2 linked regions of the Caenorhabditis elegans genome follow. The protein of the gene in region 1 purifies or fractionates together with the protein of each later gene. This does not show direct contact. Each region holds a gene or a part of one and is shown in the gene's direction. Other genes may lie near its edges.

Region 1 (7,526 bases):
AGTGCACACTATTTTCAACTGCTTCTCCATAATTTTTGCATCTCTTCTCGACACCCATCGTCTGCATCGAAAATCAATTGTGAACACGTCCATACACACGTGTCTGCGGGTCTCTGATCCTACTACTCTCTCCTCCCGTGCTTCGTGTTCTTCTTCCCGCCGGGAGCTCAAAAACGCCGCCGCCGCCGCTGTTCCTCTAACTCTCTTGCATCGACGGGTGCTTTTCGTTGTTTCTTATTGTTCTTGCTCATTACGTGTTTTGCCCCTCTTCTTCAATCGTTCCAAAGCCTAGACTCTCTCTTCTCTTTGTTCATCTCATTTTTTATTTTTGTTGCTGTTCCCGCAGTCTGTTATTGTTTCCAATATCTAGTGAAACTTGGCAGGCCAACCACAATAACATATTAATCTAAACTGAGTACTGTAGTTTCAGACTTTTAGCATTGTCTTGAAATTTCTTTAGTTTGGAGGAGTTTTGAACATTTAACTAGACTAGGCGTGGTGAGCAGGTACGTCTTCAAGCCTACGCTCCTGCCTACCGCCTATTTTCTGTTTTGAGTGTTAATATGTGTAAACTTACCTCCGTTTTAATTTTTGGAAATTGAAACAAAGCTATATTCAGATGTACTCCAGTAGGCAGGCCTAACGGCAGGAGGCTGATAGAAATTTGTTGTGTGTGTATTAAAAATAACCCGCCGCGAGCCACTTTCAAACTTATCTGTGTGATGTTCCCAATATATTGAAAAAATATCAATTTAAACTATTTCGAATATTGCGTTTGATTTGAAACAACTGGATAAAACAATCTCAAATTAAACATCTAATACCATGAATGAAAAATAATTCCTTTTGAACTAGTACATACACATTACTACACTCTATTATTTGTACAGCTTAACCATCAGGTATTGCTCGCTATCAAACAAACATTTGTTCGATTTTCGGAAATGGTTTACACATTCTTCTTCCAAATGGTTAACCTTGTAGAAGTACTTTGACAGAATTTTAATCTTTTCAATAGATCTTTCCAATTGAATTCTTTTTTGAAGATAACATCAACAATCAATTAGTTAGTTATGTCTTCATTATTGTAAACTTTATGTTGTTTGTCATATTTTGAACACATTTTGCAAAGTAGCCACGTTACTTAAAAATATTTGCAGCTCCTGAGTACTTCCAATTACATACCTCATCAATTGAGGCGCTCATTAAAACTTTTTGAAATCAATTTAAAAAAAAATTTCTCCTGAAAAACACCCTCGTAAAATCTTTCTGTACTGACAGATTTAAAAATTAAAATAATTATTTAAAAAAAAATTGAATTTGAGCAGTAGGGGAACGCTTTCATTAGGGTCAAGACATGTGCATGTAAGTTTGGGCCTACGTGTAGTGATTTTTTAAAAGAAACTTTTGCTATTGGAACTTGCAAGTTTGTTAAATTTGCCGCTACTTTTTTATGACTATTTAGTTGTTTGCCTATTAGAATATAAAAGTTGTTTAACTAAAAAAAACGGTAAACACTTATTCACACCAATTGATAAAACGAATGGGAGTGATATGTTGTCAGTGATAAGAATAGAATGTGTTCAGAGAGAGAAATGGTTGTACATTCAAACCTTCTTCACTTTTTGTTTCAGTTCTTCAAGTTTCCAAGTTTTCCCCATCGAAATTAGTCAGAAGCCAGACGATACACTTTTTGCATTCCTCACTGTATAAGTGTGTTATGTCCGTAACTGTTCCGATCACTCATCGTAATTCTTTTCGACACCATGTCTCTGGCGTATTATGTTGTAGTATTTAATATCCCACCGATTCTCTTATTCTCTTCGTTCATCAGAAACTAATTGCGTTGCTATTACTTTTCTCAAAACTTTATTACTAAAATCTAATATCTGCCATGATTCAGGGTATGATTGAATCTACAACTTCGCATCAAGATTTTCAACAACGGTGAGTTTATTAATTGAAAATAGTTTAACTAATTGAATATTTGAAATCTGATTCCAAGAATTACACAACCTACTTTAAAATAGAAATTTGTGATATGTCCTAGGATTTATTTCAATATAAGGTTAAATAATTGTACAGATCCATGACTGGGTATGCCCTGGAGCATCCATCGTACAGGATTAGAGGCGCACTTTTTAGGCATCAAGATGATGGGAGGCTTCTGTCAGGTACATTGAATTTCTATTAAAATCCAAATTTACCAAATAATCTAGGTTGCGGCGGAGACATTGAAGTAATTCATGCACTAGAACTGGAACGATCACAACATACATGTCTCCCTGTCAGAGTTACAAATGTCGTGGTGTTCGGATCAAATGACGTCGTCCGACTAATTCAACCAATTGAAGGAACCGAAGATGTCATTGTCAATGGAGACTACCACGTGTCAATTGTGCAATCTGTTGAATTATTCGAGAGTTCGACGGTTTCCAAGAGCAGAATTCTGAAACTACCTGGAAAGATTATTGCTGTAAATGCAGAGAAGCATTCAAACACTGAGGTTAGAAATAAGGGAATAAACAGTAAAAATGAGAAAGAAATATTTTCAGCTTCTTCTAGTATTTCTTCTAGAGACCGGCATCTTCCATTATTCATTTTGTGCTCATACATCAACACACTTTCAATGTATTCAAGCTTTCCGATGCAAGTGAGTTCTTAGAATTTTAAAAATTGTAAAGAGTATCTTTCGATCCTACAGTAACCTAGCGGCAACCGAATTTCTAAGCACTAACCTGATATCGAATTAATCTCATGCAATCTATGTACTATCCCTGAGATATCAGGGGCTTGTTGAAAATTTAATCTCACACATATCCAGGGACCAAGATTAATCTATTCAAATGCTAATTTTTTCAGTCGCCCAATTACCAGTGGACTTCTCTGGAGGGACTCGGGACTTCTCCACGTGGCATATTACGATGGTTTTGTACGGGTTGGAGTGGTTCATGAGCAGTACGATGATATGCTTCTAGTGAAGAGAGTCGCAGTGAATCGAAACAATTTAAGCGTTCTTTTGGATGTTGTTTTTGAAGAAATTGGAAGAATTCAAAAATTCGAGGATACTGAAAAACAACGGAGAGAAGATATGCTTACTACTTCAAAGAGTTTGTCTGATAAGTTAGTGGCAGAGGAAGAAGTTGTCGAAGGAGACACTACGAACGACGATTTTGCCAAATTGAAGATTGAGTTCAAGAATCAATCTGTAGGTTTTTAATTAATACTAAAATATTTATGAAACAATCCCAACTTTGCTTACAATCACTTTCTTGTTTTCAATCTCGAAAAATTGCAACACCATTTTTCGAACGGGTGACGTCATACTAATTTCGAAGTATGCAAAATGCGTGACGTCATGCTTCACAAAAAGAAGTTGCGATGTGTTGGAACAACGAACTACAAACCAAAAAATGAGGGAAAATGTCCCGTTCCCGTGAAAATTTGAAAAACGGGACAACGGGAATTCCCGTTCCCGTGAAAATTTGAAAAACGGGACAACGGGAATTCCCGTTCCCGGGAAATTTTTAAAAACGGGAAAACGGGAAAAACGGGAAACGGGAATTGACACCCTTGATTACAAATCACAAAGCATAATTTCAGATTCGCTGTGAACGGGTCTCACAACGTTTGACTTCTCTCCGAAAACTGATCACAATAATAAAATCCGCACTTGACATGAATGATCAAATTGAGCAAATGATTAGTCTTCTGGTGGATGAGCTGAGTGAGCTTGAGAAACTTGAACAGTTGTGCAAAGAAGTTGAAAGAACTGGAAATCAGAATCTTATTGGGAAAAGCTGGATTGCTGTGGAAGAGAAACAAATGGTAGTGGAAGAACTTATTGCAAAAGTGAATAGTGATCAAATCAAGAAACATTCGGATGTATGGGAACAGAAAATTGATCAGATAATCGATCAATTAAATGGTTGCTCAGAAGCAGCAAAGGATATGAGATTGATTATTAGTCAGAATATATTTGAGCATCGAGGTGACAAAAAGGATGTATTCACTCATTTTGTGTTGGATGCGCAGAGCCGAGATATCACTTTATATTGTCTTTCGGGTCTTACAACGATGGCCATTTATCCACGCAAGGGGAAACGGTAAGACTTTCAAATTATTTTGGAAAGTATCAAAGTGTGAAAAATTAATTAAAATTGCCACAATAAAAATAAAATAAATTCCGAAAACTATTTTTAAACTATACATAATGTAATTTTTTTTTTTCAAAGTTTACTCTAAAATTTTCCATAATTTTCAGAGTGGCCTCCATTTCTTTGGATGCATCATTTGCCACGTGTCTCACTGCGGCCTGTGCAATGAAATCCGCTGAAGGTGTCTACGTAGCAGATCAGAATAATGTTTTCCCGACGTATTTCTACAGGTAAAACTTGTTTCAGCAATTATAAAAACTAATTTTCTGCGCGCAAAATGAAAAAAACCCCAATTTAAAATTACAGAAACCGCCCAAAAGCTGGAAAAGGGTAGGAACGTACTATACTTGAACTAAACTTTTATCGCCAACTTTTCCCTCCACCCACTTCTATCATTCAGTTTACCTCCCATAAGCATGATTTTCCAGTATTTATTTTGTTTTATAATAAGTTTTCAAAGTTTCAAACAAACGCCAAAACATATCTTTTTAATTTTCATGATTTCCCAAACAATAATTTAACGCCTTATTTTCGAGCAACTAATATTATAGTTATATTTTTCAGAGAAAAGAGGTACTTGGATGCTGGAAATCAACTTCAACTTCCCACTTTCGACAGTATTTCTTCGATTCTCGTTGAACCACATCAAATGGTGAGCAATTTTTTGAGACTTGATTCCAAACTTTTTTACTGAAAACTTGGAATCTGGCAGCCTAGATCTCCATGATTGTGGTCTTATGGGAAAATTATCAATTCATAGCATAATTGTTGTCTAGTTTTGATAATTTTGAAATCTTGATACTGAAACATTTCTGAATACTTTTAAGTGAACCGAGAAGCTGACAAATGTGGCAACTTCCTAAAATTAGAAATACCAATTCCCATGAATGTTTTTCTCAGATTTTGGGAAGTGTAACTGGAGGTCTTCTACATTTATCATTTGATTTTGCATCAAATTATGAACATTTTGTTGTGGCAAGCAGTATTTTGGCTCATCCTATTTCGTCAGGATCCGTAAATTGTATCAAATTATTGGCAACTGGGGAATCCCTTCTAGCACTTCATTGCACTGACACAGAAATTGTTGTTTCGGAAAAAGATCAAGAGAGATGGCACAGAGTTACACACCATACAGGTGGTGCACATGCAATTGCAGTTACTCCATTTTCAGTTGATGAGAGAGGTGCATTTGCAGTTGTTGCAAGTGATACTTTTGTTCGATTGAAGGTTTTGCAGTATGCTGAAGGTTCGTTTTAAAGTTGATTTTTCATAGTTGATTTTTATTAAACTTTCCTTTTTTCTCATTAGAAGAAGCATATAAAAATTTGAAATCAACCATAAAACCGTTTAAACTTCAAAATCTACTAACAATAATTTTAAAAGTAAAAAGTAATCTTGTCGTTATTTTTGTTTTAAATAGCTGTTATTAATACTATGTTTAAATGTACTATGTATTATATCTGAAAAACCCTTTTCCATTTTATAAACGATCAAGTTGTACTTTTGATTCCAGAAAGCCTTATCGGTCTTCACGATCTTGGCGAATCACGAGCTGAAGATGAGAATGGACATCCGATAGAAGTACTAAATGTGTCTCTGGATCCAAGTATGCAGTACCGTCAACTTCCATGTAAACTTCGTTATGCTGTTGGATTTGCTGATAAGGCTATTCGAACATACGTGGCACTCCTCACTGGACAACACGATTTTAATGTTCAGGAGAAGTTCATCGCTCAAATTGAGCCTCTTTTTAATGTTCAAAATGTGGGTAATTCTTTTGAATTTTTGAGACATTTAGTCTTGATAATTAGGCAATTTTATTGTCAATTTTCAGATGATCTGCTTTCACGGTCGACCAATGGGATGCTATGTAAGTTGTGCTAAAACTCTTCAAATCTGGAATGATCTTGATCGTCATCAACAAAAGAAACTAAAAAGTGAAAGAATGCAATTATTGAAACTATCATCTTCGGTAACCTCAATGGAAAGAGCTGAAGGATATCTACTTCTTGGATTTGCTGATGATCGTCTTTCAATTTATGAAGAAAAAGGAAATGGAGCTGTTGATTTAGTGGGGACTGTTGATGATTGGCACAAGGGATTGAATGATAGAATTGTTATGAGTGAGAATTTAATGTAGAAATAAAATAAGAAAAAGTAATGTTCAGGTCTACGAACAAGAGCATCAAAGACTTCATGTGGCACAAGATTATTTATTCATTCATTGACAGCTCATCACATTGTTATTCATACAGTTCTTGTCACAGCCTCTAAAATTGAACAGGTTGGTTACTATTTTTAGAGAAATTATATTAATATCTATTTTGCAGTAAATACAAAATTCATGGTTAAAAAATATTTTTAAAACTTACGATTTGGAAGAAACGTTTTCATGCTAACTGATTTTATTTTATACGAAATTCATTTGAATATGTGTGTGTGTTTTCAAATTAAAAAAAAATTTCAGCACGACTTCATAGTTGCTCACGAACACTCAATGAGCCAGCCAATCGGATTCGAGTTTGTCTCATACAAGTATTTTGAATTTTTAGTTTACGGTCGTGGAATTTCCAACGAAAAACTTTCAATTGAAGATCGTAAGAGAATGGATAATTTCAGAGATTTTGAATTTAATTGAAAATTTAATTTAATTTCGCTCAATTACACAATTTCAGTTTTTAGCTTTTTTGGTTAATTTTTGCATTTTGCATCGGGTCATTGTGTGGGATCACAAACGTGTATTTAAGAAAATTCTAATCGCATTTTGAGTTCAGTTGTGATAATTTTCAGTGCCTTTTTTTAATTTTTTATTTGTTTTGTTTTTCTGAAATAAAATTATTATTTTTTGAAATTTTAACAATTTGAAGCTTAACAATATTTATTAGTAGGAACGAAAGTACCAGGGGTATTCAATTATTTGAAAATGTCATTATTAGAGTAATAATAATAATAATAATAGTAATAATTGAGAAATGTCCAATTAAAAAGTTGAAAATTTTAGCAATTGAGGAATATTATAGAAAATTGAATAAAAATTGAAAAGTGAAAGAGAAAGTTCAGCTATGGGAAGGATTGATTGGTGCGGTGAATGCCTCGGCTGTCATAGGACGATTGCTGAAATTTTGGAATTTTAATTTTAAATATTATCAGGAAATATGAAAATAAAACATTGTTACGGTATTAAAAACCTGAAAAGTTAGGTAATAATAAAAGTAAAACTTTGAGCGTTGATCATGATCATTTTAGTCGGTGTTTGTACAGTACTCAATACATCATATTTGTCGCCCAAAGTGATTTAAAGATCCTTTGAAATACCGTATTCTTGTTAATATTTTTCTTATTTCAAGACAAAAATGTTAGGATTGATGC
Region 2 (6,351 bases), on another chromosome or scaffold:
ACATCCGCCGTTTTCTGGACGAAACCCTTCTCACGTTCATTCTGACATTTATTGATAAGGTTTCCGTTCATAACTTTTTATATTCATAATTATTTGTATTTTCAGTGTATGGGAGCCGTCGCAGTCCCAAGTGACACACGACTTTTCCATGAATGTTTCTTGCTCACTCAAGAATTTATCGATAATTGGCCATCTTCTCATACCTGCCGTGCAATGCTTAAGTCGATCAGGGATAAATTCAATTTATTAGTTTATTTTAAATTAGAAACACATCGATTCGGAAAACAGTGCGATCAGCTGATGTCTCCCGAAATGTTTGCCGAGCCAGAAACTTCTGAAAATCGAGAAAACACTCCTCAGCTGCACTGCGGAGTTTCAAGAGCAATTATAACAGCAATTGAGCATGTGTGGAGTGATGATGTGTATCTTCCTCCTATTGTTGATAAATTATGGGATTTCACATTGAAGCTTTTGCTAAAGCATTTCTCGTGGAGTCAAACTATGAAAAAGTTAGATTAAAAGTTCTTCTTCACGAAAAATATTTTGTTTTCTAGTTATTTCATGGAAGAAAAAAGAGATTGGACTTCAATGGTTACTCTCCGCTCGGATACTGGAAATCTTCATCAATTGGTTTTCGATTTCGCGTTGGAGTCAATTTGGGGAAAATTTCAGTTCGTTTATTTAAATACTTACTTACATTTAGATATCATTTTTTCAGTGATATCACAGTGGATACCGCTCCATTCGGTCAATGCCTAACAAAGCATGGTCGATCAATTGATAGTCTTTGTGTTCAAATTGATGATAGTATTATTGAAATGTTCTCCGAAGTTCTTCATCAAGAAATTGCTCAAGTTTCCGATGTTCCTAAACAATACAGATGGACGAAGAAATCACCACCGACAACGCATTCCAAATATGTTGTTACAGCTATTGAAATGGTTGAGAATTTGAAAGAAAAACTATGGTAGTTTATATTGCTTCCACAAAATTTTGTACGTATTTTTTTCAGCTGCGAAGAACATCCTCACACCGATGAAATTGTTCGAAAAGTTAATCTTTCAGCATTCAATTATTTCGTGGGGAAAGGGAACGAGGTAACGTTTATTTTGGACACATGAGATAATTTTTTTTCCCGCTAAGTTTATAAACCACTCCAATTGATGCAAATTGCAACAAAATATTTGTTTTCAGGTGCTGGATAGTGTCGAAGCTACAGGATCTTCTTTATCCCGATTCAAACGGAAAACCACAACTGATTCTGGCTCCACGGTTACTGATGACGATAAAATCAAACAACAAATCTATCATGATGCTAAATATTTCCTGAGCTATGCGGAAAATCTTGTATTCTCACAAGCTGATCTCACCGGATTACAAGAAGTCGTCAATCGATTTGACAAAGATGCACGTTCGGCGATTGTACAAGAGAAAAATCAGAACGAAGAAGCGGGGAATGCTTGAATTAATTTTATGTGATTATTTATTTACATGTACATTTTATTTTAACAAATGGGTTGAAGTCTTTAAAATCGTCTATTGCCTTAATATGGGTTCATGGTATTGGAATAAAAAGTGTATAGCATCGTATTTGTGTTCACTTTCTTAAAAGTTCGGTTAAAAATCCATCGATTCATTTCTTTTTCTTTCTTTTTCATTTGATATATTAAAGTGGTAAATATTTCAGATGACTTCCTGGGCAGATATTCAGAAACTTGCATCAGATTTGCAGAGAGTTCAACTGTCACAATCATCTAAAAAGTGAGAAATATCATTGATTCTTGGCCATTTTATATATTTGATACTAAATGATAGCACATACACCATTTGCCCTAAAAACAACAAAAAATTAATAAGGTTTTAGTATCAAAAATTTAATTATTTATCTCATCTGTATTAACAATTTTTCACTAAAATTCTCAATTGTAGAATAATTTTAAAAAATTATTCTTTAAGGCTCTCCGAGGTGAATTGCATTGAAGTCCTTCAAAAACTTATCGCTTCTCATCGAATTGACGTGGTCTATACTAGAGATGGGCATAGTTATGTAACTAAAAACCACTTGGAAACTGAGGTGAGAGGGCAGAAATTTTTTATTCAAAAAAAAAAAATGAAAATAAAAGTAAAATATTGGTAGATGAGACCAATATGTAGTCGTTTCTTAAATTTCAGAACCCTGAATTTTTTCGAAAAATCTCATTATGAAATGGTATATTAAATGGAAGCCACCATTCTTTTTTGCCACGTGGAACTTCTTGGGGTGATGGAGAAACTGGAGAATTTGATGGTGACTCGTGTTGGCTCTGAAATTTCCTTTTTTTTAAAAGAATACTAACATTCCAAACAGCTTAGGCTCACTTGATCAGGTTTCTTTAATATAGACTTTGGCATTAGAATTGCGGGAGATGGATTGGGCATTGTTGAGTGTTTGAGAAAATAAAAATGTCTATCTATTCTTTCTTTTTTTTCTCACAAACTCCGCCTTTTTGTTGACCGCAATGAACTTTTATGTTTACACAAATGCAGAAATGTGAGTACAGAATAAACTGGAAGCAGCAAAACATGTGATCATGTTTTCATTTTGACAGCAGCCTTGGTTTTCGATTTGTTATTGAGGATAAATTTACGGTTAGGAATAAATATGAAAGAAGAACAATTAATTTTTATTATAAAGTATCACAGAAAAAAGTAGTTAAATAAATATTTGTAAGCAAAAATGTGTCATTTACGTTTTGAAAATCTGGAAAATATTATCTACACACGAATAATTACAGTAATCTTTAAAGGCGCGTTGCTCTTTGTGTATAAGATAATAATGTCGCTTCGAGACCGGCTACCGTATTTTGGCAGAATAATTGGAAAATTACACAGGCTGAATATTTTCCAAAGTTTCAAGTTCATCAATCCATTTTTCAGATAAAAAACGAGTGCATAGCCGCTGGAGGACGTGCTTCTCTCACTGATATCGCAGTTGCTCTTAACATAGATTTCGATCATATCGAGAAGACTTCGCGCTTGATTGTTTCGACTGATGATGAATTTACAATTTCGAATGCAGAGATATTCGCGACGTAGGTCAAGTTTATTCACGTGATTTAGATAGGCCTAAAGTTCGGAAAAGAACAAAGAAGAACACATTGACTTCATTATTGTTACGTGTCGATTGCAAATTGCAAATCGACAAAATCATTTGTTCATTGAACACTCAAAAAATATAAATTTTCAGTGAATACGTACATCGTCTTCGTAACGAATTGCGTACACTTCTCGATGAGCAAGGAAATCAAACAACTGCAGCACTCTGCAAGCACTGGAATCTATCATCGGAACTTTTGCAATCCTTGCTAATCGAAAAATTGGGATCTTCTGATTTTCAAGGAGTGGTTGATGGGGATACGATCTATACTTCTTCATTTTTGAATGCCAGACAATTGGTTCTACGCGCTATTCTGATTGCATTAACTAAGTGAGAATCTGTTTTCCATTGCCGTTCAAATAATGTTTTTTCCAAACAGAATCACTCCTATTTCAACTATCCAAAAACGAGTTGGTCTCACACCGAAACGATTTTGGATTGCGTTCGAAAATCTTCAATCTCTCGGCGAAATTCCTGGTACTTTAATCGGTTCTCGTACATCACCTTCCTGCTCGTATCGTCCAATGATGTACGATCATCTTGTGAAGTCGTGCGTTTTGAATCAATATAGACAGAATGAATTTTTAGGTATGATCATCTATTTGTTTATCTTTTAATTTCTTTAAATTCCAGAAATTTCAACTCTAAAAACTCTAGGAGTAGATGCAAAACCAGCTCTCGAAGAAGTTCTTGGATCATCTGAATTCAAAAAACTTGTCAGTATGAGATCTATGTTTATGACAAAAGAACTCATGGATCAATGTATTAATGCTGTTCAAGGTTTTTTGTTTAATTGTTTTGAATTTTATTACTTAATTGAATTTTTAAATTTTCAGAAGACTTACAAAAAAGCGGAATATCCGACGTGCATTTGGCTCTTCAATCTCTAAATCTTCCTCTAGATACTGCTGATGAGGATGAAATCGGGTCAAAAGTTGCAAATGTGGAAAAAGATTCGCATTTTGCAGAGGGTTTTGTGTTCAAGGGAGCAGTTTTGACTGAAGCTCTGCGTTCAATTGACAAATTGTTGGACGTCAGAGCACATGAGGAAGTTGATCGATTAGAAGCGGAGAAAAAGAAACAAGGCGGAGCCAAGGCAGCAGTGAAAGTTCAAGAAGAGGTATACAAATTGAATTGAAAAAAAACTATTTAATTTTTCAGACGGATGACTGGGGAGATGGAAAGAAAGGTGGAAAAGGAGGAAAGAAAAACGCAAAAAGTGTGAAAGGTGGTTCGAAATCGTCTGCTCCTTCAACTTCATCCAATTTGTCGGCGAATATTTCCATAAATAGTGAGGAACTGGAAATATGGCTTCGTGAAAGTCAATCAGTACCCGAAGAAATTCTTTCAGTAATTGTGGAAAAGTTGAATCAAGAGGTCCATCTCATGGATTCTTCAGAAATAAATAATTTTTATGTTTCAGACAACAACGCTACTTCGCAAAAAAGTTCAAGACATTCAAGCACATCAATTGGTTGCCAGCGTCGCTAATTCCAAAAAGTCATTGTCTGCAATCGGCGATAAGTGTAGACAACTTTACGATTCATTTAACACATTTGAGACGGCTACTTCCACTTTTGCTGGTAGAAAAAACTTTAAAACTGAATAGAAAAATAATTTATTTTGAATTTCAGATCCCCTTGGCTCAGATCTTCGGCAATATCTTCTGAAAACAGTTGGAAATGAAATTGCATTGGCGTTGCTTTCATATGTTATGGGAGTAGATAATGCACACCAATTGAAGGAAAAACAGCGAGAAGAAACAATTGAAAACCTTCCTGAAATGCTCAGAGATCCGATTCGATCAGTGTTTGCGTCGCTGAAATCTACAGATGATGATGCTTTGGATAAATTTCATGATGCTGTTTATAATTGTTCGGCTCCAAGTGCAACTTCGTTGGCACTGAAAAAAGTCGACAAGAAAGGAAGGTAAAATTATTTTCATAATTCTTTCCAAAAAATATCTAAAAATTATTTATAGTGAGTTAAAATTTTGGAAAAAAATAAGCTAAAATTTTAAATTTCAAAATTTGTCGCAGCTGCTGGAAACAGGGCTGAATTCGAATTTTTTGAAAAAAAAAGCGAAATACGAATAATTTTGCAATTTTTAAATATTATTGATCGAAATTGAAATTGTTTCACAATTTCAAGTATATTTTTTTTAGAAAAAAAGTGACATTTAAAATTTAAAAAAAAACAAATTTTTTCAGAGCCGAAGTTGGAGCTAAAATTACAGCGGAACTTCATGAGCAACTTTGTTCTCAAACGGAGCCAGCAACAACTCTTCTTCTGTCTGTTCTTTATATTTTAGCCAAGGCTGGACGCCCAACAACTGCCAGCGGAAAGTTTGTTTCTCAACTTGTTGCTCAAATTAAGGATTTATGCCCCGAGGTAATAGAATACTAAACATCTATATATCTATCAGAATATCTATTTCCAGAATGTCTTCGACCTACTTCAGGCATGCCAAAAAGGCGTAGTTACTTGCATCAAGAACAAGGGCGACGAAGTGGCCAAAGAAATGCTCGTTAATGATATTTCTAGTCTGAAACAGTCAATTATGCCATAATATCGAAATAATTCGTATAACTTGTTTAATTAATTTATTGAGAACTGAAATATGAATGTATTGCACGTGTTTTATTCTGTTAAAATTAAATCTGTAATTGTTTTTTTAGTCAGAAGGTAGCTTTCATAAACAGCCCAATTTCAATTACTTTTCAATAGATCGCAAATTTTGATGGTCGTTGTGCTCGGATCTCTTCTGCTGTAGATTTTGATTAATATTCACAGCAAAGTTTAATCCTCGAAAAACTTCATAACTCAATTTTTTTGAATTTATCTTCTTCAGATGTCCGGTGACATACCTCTCCACCAATTGCAGCCAAACATGAATTCGTTTTCGGTTACTGTAATTGTTCTAGATCCAGGTATCCTTTGATTTTCAGAAAGAATTTATAAAAATGAATAAATTTTAAGGGATTCATCGCAGAACACAGACGGGAACAATTATTTCAATGAAAGTGGCTGACGCATCGGGTAAGATCAGATAAACCGAAATTTAGCGATTTTTGCTCCAAAAAACGATTCGATTTTCAATCTCGGAACGACAATTTTTGTGGAGTTCGAAAAGGTATGCGCCTTTAAGCAGTACTGTAATTTAAATTTCCTTCGAATTTTCATAGTTTTTAGATAAAAATATATTTATTTATGGA

What was found. Proteins that work in one complex are often made in the same cells at the same time.
Region 2: the proteins of dct-6 (region 1) and ufl-1 fractionate together in Caenorhabditis elegans (co-fractionation; one large-scale study listed by BioGRID). This does not show direct contact.

The regions. Positions count from the first base shown.
Region 1 is NC_003281.10:5,964,510-5,972,035, forward strand, and holds dct-6 (Protein dct-6), read left to right. Parts: upstream 1-1,903; 5' UTR 1,904-1,906; coding exon 1,907-1,947; intron 1,948-2,085; coding exon 2,086-2,174; intron 2,175-2,219; coding exon 2,220-2,506; intron 2,507-2,555; coding exon 2,556-2,653; intron 2,654-2,862; coding exon 2,863-3,208; intron 3,209-3,364; exon of another isoform or gene 3,365-3,523; intron 3,524-3,603; coding exon 3,604-4,106; intron 4,107-4,264; coding exon 4,265-4,387; intron 4,388-4,463; coding exon 4,464-4,487; intron 4,488-4,721; coding exon 4,722-4,809; intron 4,810-5,057; coding exon 5,058-5,403; intron 5,404-5,670; coding exon 5,671-5,921; intron 5,922-5,991; coding exon 5,992-6,280; intron 6,281-6,325; coding exon 6,326-6,441; intron 6,442-6,624; coding exon 6,625-6,795; 3' UTR 6,796-7,002; downstream 7,003-7,526. Other genes in the region: mlp-1 (Cysteine-rich protein 1), read right to left, coding at 7,214-7,271. UniProt on the Caenorhabditis elegans protein: May have a role in tumor suppression.
Region 2 is NC_003282.8:7,032,196-7,038,546, reverse strand, and holds ufl-1 (E3 UFM1-protein ligase 1 homolog), read left to right. Parts: upstream 1-1,687; coding exon 1,688-1,761; intron 1,762-1,956; coding exon 1,957-2,074; intron 2,075-2,075; exon of another isoform or gene 2,076-2,168; coding exon of another isoform or gene 2,169-2,303; intron 2,304-2,358; coding exon of another isoform or gene 2,359-2,418; exon of another isoform or gene 2,419-2,424; intron 2,425-2,916; coding exon 2,917-3,071; intron 3,072-3,226; coding exon 3,227-3,466; intron 3,467-3,515; coding exon 3,516-3,724; intron 3,725-3,769; coding exon 3,770-3,916; intron 3,917-3,972; coding exon 3,973-4,256; intron 4,257-4,297; coding exon 4,298-4,513; intron 4,514-4,559; coding exon 4,560-4,719; intron 4,720-4,770; coding exon 4,771-5,065; intron 5,066-5,346; coding exon 5,347-5,527; intron 5,528-5,576; coding exon 5,577-5,705; 3' UTR 5,706-5,851; downstream 5,852-6,351. Other genes in the region: cogc-2 (Conserved oligomeric Golgi complex subunit 2), read left to right, coding at 1-59, 106-509, 555-671, 719-967, 1,013-1,097, 1,195-1,464; C06G3.3 (uncharacterized protein), read right to left, coding at 2,169-2,303, 2,359-2,418; nabp-1 (OB domain-containing protein), read left to right, coding at 5,988-6,066, 6,116-6,175. UniProt on the Caenorhabditis elegans protein: E3 UFM1-protein ligase that mediates ufmylation of target proteins.